Linked DNA regions of Caenorhabditis elegans. The protein of the gene in region 1 interacts with the protein of each later gene in a pairwise test. Each region holds a gene or a part of one and is shown in the gene's direction. Other genes may lie near its edges.

Region 1 (7,957 bases):
GCATCCAGCCTTTAAAACACACTGCCTCGTCCTGTCTCTGCTCCATCATTTACCTCAGTAATTTTAGTACTCTTCTTCTCCTTCTTCTACTTTTTTCTCTTCTTTAACATCTTCCTTTTCCTCTCCAATATACTTTAACATCATCAACACAAAAAACGTTTAGTCGTCTCTTCATCCTCCTTCTCTCTTCCTCATTTTTTCCAACTTGTTGTTCTTCTTCTGATTCCTCCATTTATTTTCCGTTTGCGTGTGTTTTAATTGCGGGAGACCCCCCTCAGTCTCTCTACTCACCCGTTTATGGAGTCTCGGTTGGATTGAGAGGAGGAACATAGTTTTGACTATTCTCGTTTATTTTACCTCTTTTTCCATCTTCTTTTCCGATTTATTTCCACTTTTTAATGCAATCCTTGCGGACATTCGAAAGCCTAACTACCATTACAACTAAGATTTCAAAGGTCCGTTTTTATTTTATATTCTTTTCTTCTTTTTTTTAAACAATTATCTTCAAACTTCAGTTTTTTCTTCAATATCTCTATTTTTCTTCATTTTTCTACATTCATTCATTTTCTTTTCACCCACTTCAAACAAATAGAGCAAAAATGTATGAGAACAATTTCCTCTCGTTCTGCTAAAATTGAAAATGTTTCAAAACTTTTTTCTTCCATCGTTTCCCTCCGTCTTTTATTACCCTCTGACTCATTCATCCGATATCCTCAAATGTTTCGAAATGTTTTTTCTTGGTATTTGTCTTGTAAAACGTCTACTGTAGTGTTGACTTTCCAATGGTTTTTTTTTTCGAAAAAGGTTTTGAAAATACAATTCCCACTTGTTGCGAATTGAAACATCTGTTCAGATATTTTTGCAAAAAAAACGAGTTCAAAGCAATACAGTCCAATTCCAATCCAACTTAACGATGTTTCAAATTAGGTAATGTTCTGCGATGGAATAATTTCTGCTAGATTGCAGTTTTTCATTACCCTCAACAGGCACATAAAATGCATGCCTACAAGGCAAATACGTTTTCCAAAAAAAAAGTTTTTACAAAAAAAAATCTACCTGATAAAAATAACTTTTCAAAAGCCTCAGCAAACGCAGATCTCATAGTCAACACACAAAACAATGTAACGGCTTCAGGTTGCAATTTTTTGCGGCAAAATTTTAGGTCTTTTTTTTTGCTTTTCAAAAAAACTATTGGTTGATATTTATTTACTTGTGTTTTAAATTGAAGTATTTGCACTAAAAAATTTTAAAAATGGAAATACATTTTAATTAGGCGTAGGTCACTTTAAAGACAAGTTGAAAGCGCCTTGTAGGTGTCGGCAAAAATATTTGTGCCTGCATAGAAGATTTATGATTTTCCATTTTACAATTTTTATGCATTAAGCTTAAACATGTGTTTTTTAATTCTAAATTTTCTTTTTGTCAGTGGTCAAATATTCTAGACAGCTACTGGTCAGTCTTTAATAAAATTATCAATTTCCTATTTTTCGTAGAGTTCAATAAATCTTGCCTCTCTGCATCTTGCTCGCCGCATCAATTTCCGGTGCAAAATACTATAATTATCGTCCGGAATGTCCCCCATCCTCCTCTTCAATTTTCCTCTCTAACATCTCCTTCTTGATGTTGATGATGCGTTCGTCTGTCAACCGTGTCGCCGCACGAATCATCATCATCCTTACGCTTCCATTCATTCTCAGTATTTCAGGTGTTTCATGTCCTGACATGCGGCCGTTACAAGCCGTTTTATCATTGTGTCTGGTGACCATTGCTGGGAGCACAAACGTCTTTCAAGGTAACAAATGAGGGTCTTGAGGTAGATATCACATTAGGGTGTTAGAAATTCCTTGTTCAAAATGCGAGCAATTCGTTTCCATTTGCCTCGTTCACGTTCCCACGTTGTTTGCCGTCTCTTCATCTTCAATTATCCCTCTCACTTTCAACTTGTGATTCAATTAGTTTATTTCTCTATGTCTCCTCTAATCATCACATTATTTTAGCCGTTCTGTGGCTGATTGGGTACGGTAACGAAGCAGAACGAAGGCGATTCCCATCACTTCTTTTCTTCCAAATTATAGTTGTGACACTTGGCGCCCGCACAGAAAATTGATGAGTGTCGAGGGGTTTTGCTAGAAGATTTACTTGCTTTCTTACTCGCTACTTTTGAATACTATTTACGCAACCAAAAAGAGGATTATCTGAGGGCGGCAAAATTGTTGCGAAAAAGAAGTTCCTGAGGCTCATACTTTCTTGGAGAAAAGAGCACAAAAGAAATTACTCGGGGAATAATTTTCTGTTTTGTATGTTGCGTCGACAAGTGCAAAAAAACGAATACGGATGTCCTATTGTTGCAAGAAAAGAGTACATTCTGCTCTCATTTCTCAGTAGGGGGTTGCCGTAGTCAACACTTGAATCTAATTAATTTTCGTGGTGGGTTACATGCCAAACAAATTATTGAACATAGAATGTCATCTGGCGAGAATAAGAAATGGAAACTACTAATATCTTATTAGATAGCTGGACGAATTCAGAGAAAGGGGAACAGGTATCAGAGAATCCGCACAAAATTGAATGCATGTTCACCAAGGCCTAAATACATTAAATTTTTATGACGTGGAACAACCAAAAGATAGTTCAAGATCATCTCATTAACTTTTTATGGCTGAACAATAAAGCAAAGAACAACTGACTCACTCAGTCACCACAATCACTTTTTTTAGGGTCATGCGCGGCAGAACACGTGCTCTGTGAGCAACTGTGTGAAGCACTCTCTCCAGAAACATATGAATGTTCTTGTTGGGAAGGGCACGTACTACAGGATGATGGATTATCATGTAGAGTTGATACAGATGTACAATACTCTGAAGAGAAGAAGGAAATAACAAAGAAAAGGACGAGAAAGCTGGAAACCAGCACATTTCCTATCAGAAAACTGACCATTGAAAATAAGAAGAAGATCACAAATTCACCTAAACCATTGGCTTTTAAAGGATCGAATTATGCAGAGTTTGCAATCAAAGATGATACATATTTAGAGACAAATATCACTATTCAATTCAAGTAAGCGCTTTTATAAATACTTTTCAAAAAACGATTGGCATTTCAGACTTGATGAGCATAAAGATGGAATTATTTTCTTTGCTGGAGAATTGATGGGTGATGATTTCCTATCAATTACTCTAGATGGACCAAATGTTATCATGAGGTATGTATTTTTGGTATTTGAGTAACTTGATAACAAAGAGAAATTGTTTTAAAAAATACATCGAAAGCACATGTAGTTCACAATTTTAGCGAAATTATTGTCAGTATTATGAAAAAGAAAAAAAATAAAAGATCTTCTCTTTGATAAAACTTTACGAAATTAATTTCAAATTTTATTCAGACATGACTGTGGAGAAGGTACAATTGAAGACATGTATCATGGAAAATTCGCAATCGGAGAATGGCATGAGATCAACGTGTGGAGGAAAAATTGTGATTTGACTGAAATAATTGTTGATGGTGGTCACAAATTAGTTGATCACGCTGATGAATTTAAGGTTTGTATTCAACTTCTTAACCTCACAAAATCCCAATATTTGAATTCAGAATTACAAAGGGATCACAATGGACGAAGGCGTGTTCCTTGGCGCTGCTCCCCACAACATTGAATTCCTCCAGCAAAAGACAGGAGCTTTTGAAGGATTTCGAGGATGTGTTCGATTGGTGCGTAAGCTTGAAAAACAAGAGAAATTCGTTTATCTTGACGGAAATGTTTTGCAAGTGGACAATCCAATAAATGTTTTTCTTACAGCTTGTCGTCAACGGAGAAGTACTTCTAAACACCAATGAAACCATCAATAAAGCCTTAGATTCATCTGTCAATTGTAAAAAAATCTGAAATTTTTCATTTAAAAACGTTGAAATTATAGATTATTGTGGAGAAGAGGAACCAAAGTTGGAGAAGAAGAAAAGGAAGATTATAAAAGTGATGACAGGAGACAAGGAAAACGATAATGAAGAAAGTGATGACATTATTCAAATTGAAATGTTCGATCTCACACAAAGAGGAATTCCGAAAATCCTAGAGACTCCGGGAAGTAAGTGAGCGTTATGAAATAAATCCACCACTGCGAATTCTTTTAAAAATTATCGAAAGTTGTGAATGCGCTAGATGAAAAGTTTCGCGTGTGGTAAGACCAAAAGATTGTTTGAGTGAAAAATCACACTTTTTCTTGGAAATGTTCGTGCTTTTAAGAAAACATTATTTCGTTTATTCCTGTAACTTGTTAGCTTTTTAAGATTTTAGCGGAAGTTGTGTGAGTTTAGGAAACCATTTCTCTAGAGATTTTTGACTTTTTTTTGGAACACCGCAACCAAATTCCAAACCAAAACACTCAAAAGTGCGTTTCTTTTTTCTTCGAATTTCTTCTAATGCCGCCTGCTCAAATCCAAAATGGGCGGGGCCGTCGGCGGCATTTTGAAGCTGTGAGCGTGAGCAGAGCAGGAGCACACGAAAGTTCCTCGCTGTGCTCATTCCTTCTCACTTCATTATGATTCTACCGTGCCTACTCTTGTTATATGGGGTGCGTGTAGGCATATCGATGCCATTCGACTACTATGGGATGTTCATTGAGCAAATGCTCGCTGATCAGTTATCTGAAATTGTAAAGAATAACAAGACATCAATTACAGTGCATATGTCAACTCAATCCCCAACGAGTCTTCCATTGGGACATCCTATTCTCAAAGAAATTATTGTTCAGCAAGGTTAGTTTCTCCAAAATTCATTGCGATGAACTGAAAAGTTCAAAAATTTCAAAATATGGCCCTACTTCACACTGTTATAAAAAAAAAAAGAGCAACTTGCAAGTCTCTTTTGACCTCTGAAACTCCCGGCAACGTCTCTGACGTCACGCTTGGTTCTCTAAAGAAACTGCACCAAAAATTATCGTGACGGCGCATTTCTGAAAACAAGGAGCCGCGGGTTACCTGAAATGAAAGAAATCCCAGATATTATCCGTTAAAAAAATTATTATTTGAAAAGGTCCTTTTTATATTGTTAAGTAATACTGCTATTCCAAAAAATGAATTTATTTGTCTAGACTATTTTACTATTTTGACGGAAACCGGGCCACATTTTCTCAGTTCCTTTGCCCCATAATTTTCTAACCTTTTTCTCAGAATTGCCTTTTTCACTCCCTCGTTCTCGTTATTGTCTTTTTTCCTAACGCCACTCATTCCATTTGGCTCCAAACGACTTTTTGCTGCATAAAACTTAAAAGTGACTGCCCTGTTCTCTTCCAAAAAAAAATGAAGCGCCTAATCTTTTTCCCGTTTATTTTTTTGGAAGAAAAAGGCGAGGAGACCTTCTTGAAATATGCATAACAAACACGAAATGTCACGCATCGCCGCGATATGAGTGACACATTTTGGAAAGAGAAGAACAAGAAGAATAATGACAAAAAATGAGAATGAGAAATATGAGAGCATTGTTTTATGAATACTAGGATATGAGGTCCCATATGTTAATTAGTAAGATCCTAGAATGAGCACACCAAAAATAAATTAAAAAAAAGTATACACCTGGAATTGAGCAGAGATATTCTAGCTTAACTTTTTTCGGATTTTATTTTAACGTTCATGGTGCCTAACAGCGTACTTATTGATAAGGCATATATTAACGTTTTTTTAATCAATTAAATGAACTTTCAATCATGACGCAACCTTCTGATTTCTAGTGCCATCTGCCTCTATCTTTTTTACGTACTAAGATATTTTATTCAGAACATGTAACAACTACACCTGCTCCATCAAGTACGTCGACAAAAAGCTCCATAACCTGGAAAGTTGCACATTTTAATGGAAATTCTAATGTAATTGTTCCGGCTCCTGATAGCATTCTCAGCTATTTGGAACTCTCAATCCAATTTAAAACTGAGAAACCATCTGGTGTACTTTTCTTTTGGAAAGAGGATTCCAAATTTTTGATTGTCACGGTTGAGAATTCATTTATCAAAGTTTATGCAAGTCTTGGAGTTGATGCAACTATTTTGAGGTTTCAGAAATAATGTTAGAACATTGATAATTGGAATTTTCAGATCAGAGAACGCTGTGAGTTTGTATCACTGGCATAAATTGGAAGTCTGGAGAAGTGGAAAAGGGGTTCTGCTAAAAGTTAATAAACAAGGATGGGTGGAGTCAGAATTGCATGCTTCAAAATTAGAAATTATTGAAGAAACTGGAAATATATTTATTGGATCACTTGATGATAATGATATTCCATCAGTTGTTAAGGATATTGAAGGATTTGCAGGATGTGTCAAGAGGGTTGGTTTTAAAACAGAATACCAGTTTTAATTACATATACATTTTCTAGATCCGTCTGAATGGAAAAGCCATATTGATGCAGTCAACATATGCCACGAATGTGACTGAATGTTTCCAAGATCCTTGCTCCACGTTCGGATGTCCAAACAAGTGTCTTGCACACAATTCAATGCCAGTGTGTCAATGTGAATGGCCAATGAGCGGAAGAAAATGTTCAGTGACTTCGGAATCTGAAATTTCTGCAATGAAGTTTTCTGGATTATCTTATTTGGAACTTGACAATGAAGCTGTTATGAGCCAGTAAGTTCTTTATTTTAAATTACAACGGAAAACCATTCTACTTTCAGCATCACTGGAGATAGTCTCGATATGGCTGTCAACTTCAAAATCCAAAACACAACGCAAACTGTTCGCCAGATTGTAATTTCCGCTGGTGATATTACCCATGAAGATGACTTCTTTGAACTATCAATTGACACAAATCGATTTGTCCGATTTGCATTAAATCTCGGTTCAGGAACAATTGTATTAACACACCCAAAACGAATTGAAGATGAAAGATGGATTACTGTAGAAGTGATTCGAAAAAGGAATTTGGTGAAATTATCAGTTAATGGAGAGGATCCAATTACTGGATTTGCTCCAGAAGGTGCTGAGCAATTGAATGTGTATCGAAATATTTTTATTGGTAAGTTGTATTTCAAATAATAAGCTTCAATATTTTTCAACAATAAAGGGAATTAAAAATCTTTCATGATGCAAATTTGATCGCAAAACATTTATTAAAAAAACATTTTTATTTATATTCAAAAATGTGCGATTTTTGAATGGTTGGAACATGCAGAAGTGCTCGAAGTTTTACAAAATGTTCATATTTTTTGAAATTTCGGACCTTTTACCAAAACTGAAAATATGAGAATATCTAAATATAGTTGGAGTTTTTAATTATGATATTTGGTCATTGATATGAGGCACAGAACGGTGTCTTCAAGGCATCTTGAATATTTCCCTTCAAACAGTTCAAATGAGTTCCCGATTGTTTCAATTTCAGGTAACAATTTTACACCAGACGGATCACCAGATGGTCGGGACTTTACGGGACTTGATGGATGCATTATTTCGCTTCGATTCGATCAGACAACCATTTCTCACCCAAAACAAGCAAAAACAGCCATCAATATCCAGGACTGTGCAATTTAATCAATTCACTGGTAGTCGAATATAAATAAAAATTTGCTGTTTCCGTTGAAATAAGAATGACTATGCCGGTTGTTCCGTATACGCATAAGTTATTTGTTCTGTATTTAGCATGTTGTCCCTTTTCTTACAATCACCCATATTACTTTTACATTTCAACGTTTTGAACGATTAAAAATGAAATAAAAAACTATTAAAATATTTTTTGTTTTCAACTTCAGTAATAAAATGTTTATTGTTCAGATTATGTATCAACAGAGAAGAAAAACAAAAAAATAAAACAAAATTTAAGATTAAAGCTCTTCAGGTTGTGAGTTGTGTCTCATGCAAATTTAGGCAACCTTGCATGTTGATGTGTACGTTGTACATGCTGAAAATCAATGTTTTTGCTTAAATATAATTGAAAAAGGATTATATATATATATATATATATATATATATATATATATAT
Region 2 (4,889 bases), on another chromosome or scaffold:
CGAACTGTAGTTTAAAGGTTCATGTTGTTTCCTCAGCTAGGCGTATTTGAAGCATATGTAGTTCAATGTATGTGTCTATTCAGAAAACGTACATGTCTTTTTCTAGTTAATTAACTGATTTAGTTGGTTGATCAATGCACCATGTCTAAAAACTGAATGGTTAGCTTCGTATCCCCCAATAATGTGTATAAGCCTCTAAACTACAACGGCAAGCTCAAAAATTACATTCTGCAAAAAAAAACTAATCAACTTTTTTCCAGTTTATGAGTTTTTGAGCTGAAGTGTTTTGTGCCAATCACCAAACAAGACTTGTCCATTTTTTGTTCTGAAATCGATGTTTTAGACTGTATTTCAAGCTTATATGATACACTGTCTTGGGAAAATAGGTTATTGAACCATCTGACTTTGGTTTGACAAAAGCATAAAAGTGACAAAGTCTAATACCTCACAGTTTTGAAACTTTCGTTCAAGACTGTAATAATTATTAATTAGAAATAGCTAACTAGAACCGATATACATAGGTACTTAATTCTATATATCTATATACCTATATAATTATATATATACCGAATTCTATAACACACCATGGAATTTTACCATATATTCCCTTTTTAGTACGTTTATATCTCGGTTGTCTTTGATCATATTTCAAAAATTCAAAATTCAAACGACACAATTTTTTTCAAATCTATCGTTATGCTTTGGTTTTTGAAGGTATCAAAAATATTTTTAAACCGTTGAAATATGAGCCGACAAAGTCGATTGACGGGGGGCCATACTAATAGGGAATGTACGGTATATATAATTTATGTACATATATGTATTATAACGTATGATAACATTCATACACTTCCTTTTTTTGACTAACTCAATTGCATGGAATTTGAATTTAAGACTACACACATTTTCCAAACAATTACTATTTTTCTTCTCTCATATCTCTAATTACTCCGATACTATTCAAAAATTCAATTCCCCATCCCCCCAGAAAACCCCAAAATTACTCCAAATTCCACGCATCCCAAATTCAATTTCCTTTACATGACCCCTTTTCCCCATTCTCCTACCCTTCTGCCTACCAATATGTCGTCAAATTCAATGTCTGCGTACCCGATATATGCGTATGTATTGAATGGAATAACACACCATTTGACGACATTTTCCCCGTTTAAACTAACAACTTTTCAAGGTTGTTTATTGGATTTTGCAGGGTTTTGTATGGGAAAAGTTCAGGATTTTCCTATAAAATCAATATTTCTTTGGAATTTATAATTGTTTAAGTACTGTGATAACTACTTAAATAGAACTTGTTTTATTTGAGTTTGTTAAAATTTAATTTGTTCATAATGTAACCGCTTTAAACGGGGCTTTTTTACTATTATTAAATTTAAAAGTTGACCTATTATAACTTTTTCTCAATAAGAAGTTTCAATTTTCATACTAATTACTACTTCTATACAGTTTTTTTCGATGTTACTTTAAAAAATTGAAAACTTGTCCTTATAAATTAGAATTTTCTGGTTATTCTTATTATTTCTGTTGAAATTGAACTTTAAAACGTTTTCAATTGTTCTTTGAGTTAAAATATTAATTTTTATAACAAAATTTAAAAAAAAAACCGCAGTCTTCAAAAAGCATAAGAAACAAACTGAACTTCATTGCTTTTTCCGCTTCTATTTGTATATACGATTAGCCTCTATTTACCCTGTGATTTTTGATTATTTTCTTTTTGTATATAACAACTTTTATATTCCAGAATGTCAGAGGACCCATCATGGTACAAGACCTCCATGTCAAGTACGTCTTCTTGTATTGAGGAGGAACATGAGCCTGTCGATCAGGATGAGGAAGAGGTTAGTATTTTTGTTTGTTTCTAAAAAAAAAATTAAAGCTTTATACCAAATTCTAACAATTTTTTTGTTGGATATAGCAATATAATGATGTTTTTCAAGTAGTGTCGGAAAATTAAAAAGTTTAGAAAATGAACGTTACCGCTGTAAGCATGTATTTTAATACTGTTGTGACGTCATAAATGTATTTAAATAAGGTAGCTGTTATACCGTCATCACGTACAATTTTAAGAATTTATTTGAGCTTTCACACTACAATATTTCGATACGTTTTCAAAATCAAAGCTATAACTAACTGTAACGCTATGTCCTTTGTTATACGTTACAACGTTTTATTACACACTATAATATAGATTTAGCCTGATTTCAAATGTTATAAATTATACGTTATCAACAAGATTAAAAGGTTAAGGTTATAGTATCATATATTAAAAAAACGTTAAAATTTTAATTGAACGATCATATTAAAACAACGTTTTTACATGTGTAACGAATTATAACGTTAGTTTTTAAAATAAAGGTTATAAAGTATCGTGTAATATTTTTAAAAAAAGTTAAAACGTAACGTTAAGTTAAGGCTATACATAGTATATTTTTCGTAATAAGGTATAACGTTTTAAAGGTGGGGATATTGTCTAAGTACACTTATTATGATCCAAAACGACCAAATATCATAATATAACACAATTTTAGATTTTTCATAATTTCCGGCCTAAGTTTTGGCATATTGCCAAAACTTTGAAAAATCAGAGCTTTTGAAAAAAAGTCCAAAGGTATGCCGCATGTTTCGACCCCTACAATGTTTTAATACGAATAATTAAAACAAGATTACAGAATTAAAAATGTAGAAAAACAATTTTTTTTTGGTCGACTTCCAAAATTATGAGTGGCAAAAACTCAGTAATTGTCACCACTTTTTGACAATAAATAAAAAATTTTCAAAAATTTTTTGAAAAGTTTTATTATGATATTAGATCATTTTGGGACTTTTGGTTTTTAACAACTTCCCCACTGGCACTACTCCACCTTTAAGATGTATGTTTTAACGGTATAACGTATAGGGTTAAAAGCAACTTTAAATTAAGGTTTTTACATAGTTGAACGATTTTGTCCATTTTTGTCGCGATGCTTGTTCCACTAGCAAAAACTGAACATGCTCACACTTTCTTTGAAAACCGCGAAAAATTAATGCCAAAAGATAGAAAACCATTCAAAACGCGTTTACTACCCCTGAAACAAAACGTCTAATAATATGAGAGTCAGGTCAAAAATAAAAGAGACACTTTTCTCATTCTCCTCCCATCCACTTTTTTCTCGTTTTTCAACATAGTGTAAATGAGAAATGTGTGTGTATGAAAAAGAAAAAGAGCCTCTTCTTCTTCTTCTTTCTTCTTCCACACAACTTCCCGAGGGACCCCCTTTTCCCAGTTTTAACCAGACATTGATATCATGCCCTTCTTAGAAGAGAGAGAGAGAGAGAAGACTCTTTTTGTTTCTATTCAACTCGTGTGTCGCTTATTTGACTTTTGATGTCTACTGGTAGCCTAGTTATGAGAAAAATTACAATAGATTTTAGAATTCTTAGGCTGTATGGGTACTGTAATTTATCACCTATAGGAAAAATTGATAGCATTACATATATGGTTTTAAATTACTCATAATTTGGGGTAGATCAAAAAAGAGAAACTTTTTAAATTGGTATCTAACAAATGCTATATCTATATAGTTGATTTATTATTTTCCAAGAAGTTATGAAAAATTAGTCTTTCACCATTTTTGATTCGGCAAAGTTTAGCGGTAATTTACATTCATGAACAACAGTTGCCAAAAATGTTTTTCTGCATCTTATAGTGAATTTTCATATTATTTTATAAGTTTCAGGAATAACAATTTAAAAATTTGTATGTATAGGCAAATACTGTTTGTGGTTTTAGTTTCACCGTTATAAAATAAGTAGTCGTTTTCTTAATATAAAAAATTGGATTTTTTAGGAAATTGATAATAATGGTACGGTTTCTATGTAGTAGCTGCGGTCCAAAACTTTTGACCAGTTTAAAAAGTTAAGCTTACAATTAGCAAATGCTTTTTCTATACTTTGGTTTAGTTGCAACATAATTAACAAAACTAACTGTTTTAAATCTAAAATTACGGCAATTTCTGTGCAGTTTTTCTAAAACCTAAAAATCACCTATTTTTGATTGTTTATAATTAAGTAGCAAGAAAGTGTCCTAGCCAAAAAATAGGAAATTTCTTGCTCTTTCAGACCAGTATACTAACGTCTCTGTACCTACGATATTCATTTCAAAAATCTTTTTCTAAAACCTAAAAATCACCTAATCACCTATATTCCAGATGTACAACCCGAGTGGATGCACGTGGCAACTTCTCTCCGTCTCCTTACACAGAGTATGTTTCTTTTTGTTTATATTTTAAACATTGTCTAATTCCTCCCTGACCATAAACAAAACCCGTTTCCCATTTTTTTTCTCCTACTCGGGTATAAATGATTTATCGTCCATGTATGCAAGGGACAATTGTGTATAGGTATAGGGGTATACATTCCGTTTAGGCAATCTGTATAGAAATTTCCAGGTAAACTCGTTACTTGATACAGGTCGAATGTCAATTACCTGTCAACCTATCTATTTAGCACAGTTACAAATATATGTACATAGAAGAACTATTTTCTGATAGTGAGTCGAAAATTTTGTTATTTATACCTTACTTGAATTATGTGTTGAGTTTCTAAAAAAAACTCCCCTAACTCGGTTAAATTTCGGATTTTCATAAAAATTATCTACTAAATTCTGAGCTTAATTAAAAATTTATTATAATTTCCTAAACTAGGGTGCCAAGCTGTCCTCAGCACACTCTTAACCATGCGAATCCAGTTTAGAAGCCTGCGTCTAAAATCCCGCAATTCTCGGAGATCAAACCGAAATGGGACATTGTGACACCACGGGACCTCTGAAATTGTAAATAAGTACCTTATAACCTAATTTATCATGTAATAACCTAGTTGATTTTAAGACTTACCTA

The links.
Region 2: the proteins of T19D12.6 (region 1) and zoo-1 interact in a two-hybrid assay, tested with the Caenorhabditis elegans proteins (one large-scale study listed by BioGRID).

Annotation. Positions count from the first base shown.
Region 1 is NC_003280.10:6,636,866-6,644,822, reverse strand, and holds T19D12.6 (Laminin G domain-containing protein), read left to right. Parts: upstream 1-1,705; 5' UTR 1,706-1,722; coding exon 1,723-1,792; intron 1,793-2,717; coding exon 2,718-3,057; intron 3,058-3,103; coding exon 3,104-3,202; intron 3,203-3,382; coding exon 3,383-3,539; intron 3,540-3,588; coding exon 3,589-3,705; intron 3,706-3,793; coding exon 3,794-3,866; intron 3,867-3,911; coding exon 3,912-4,079; intron 4,080-4,674; coding exon 4,675-4,749; intron 4,750-5,331; exon of another isoform or gene 5,332-5,414; intron 5,415-5,766; coding exon 5,767-6,037; intron 6,038-6,080; coding exon 6,081-6,309; intron 6,310-6,358; coding exon 6,359-6,609; intron 6,610-6,656; coding exon 6,657-6,997; intron 6,998-7,060; exon of another isoform or gene 7,061-7,210; intron 7,211-7,360; coding exon 7,361-7,509; 3' UTR 7,510-7,750; downstream 7,751-7,957. Other genes in the region: T19D12.4 (VWFA domain-containing protein), read right to left, coding at 7,839-7,876.
Region 2 is NC_003279.8:14,527,775-14,532,663, forward strand, and holds the start of zoo-1 (Tight junction protein ZO-1), read left to right. Parts: upstream 1-1,754; 5' UTR 1,755-1,757; coding exon 1,758-1,853; intron 1,854-3,157; exon of another isoform or gene 3,158-3,206; intron 3,207-4,202; coding exon 4,203-4,256; intron 4,257-4,889.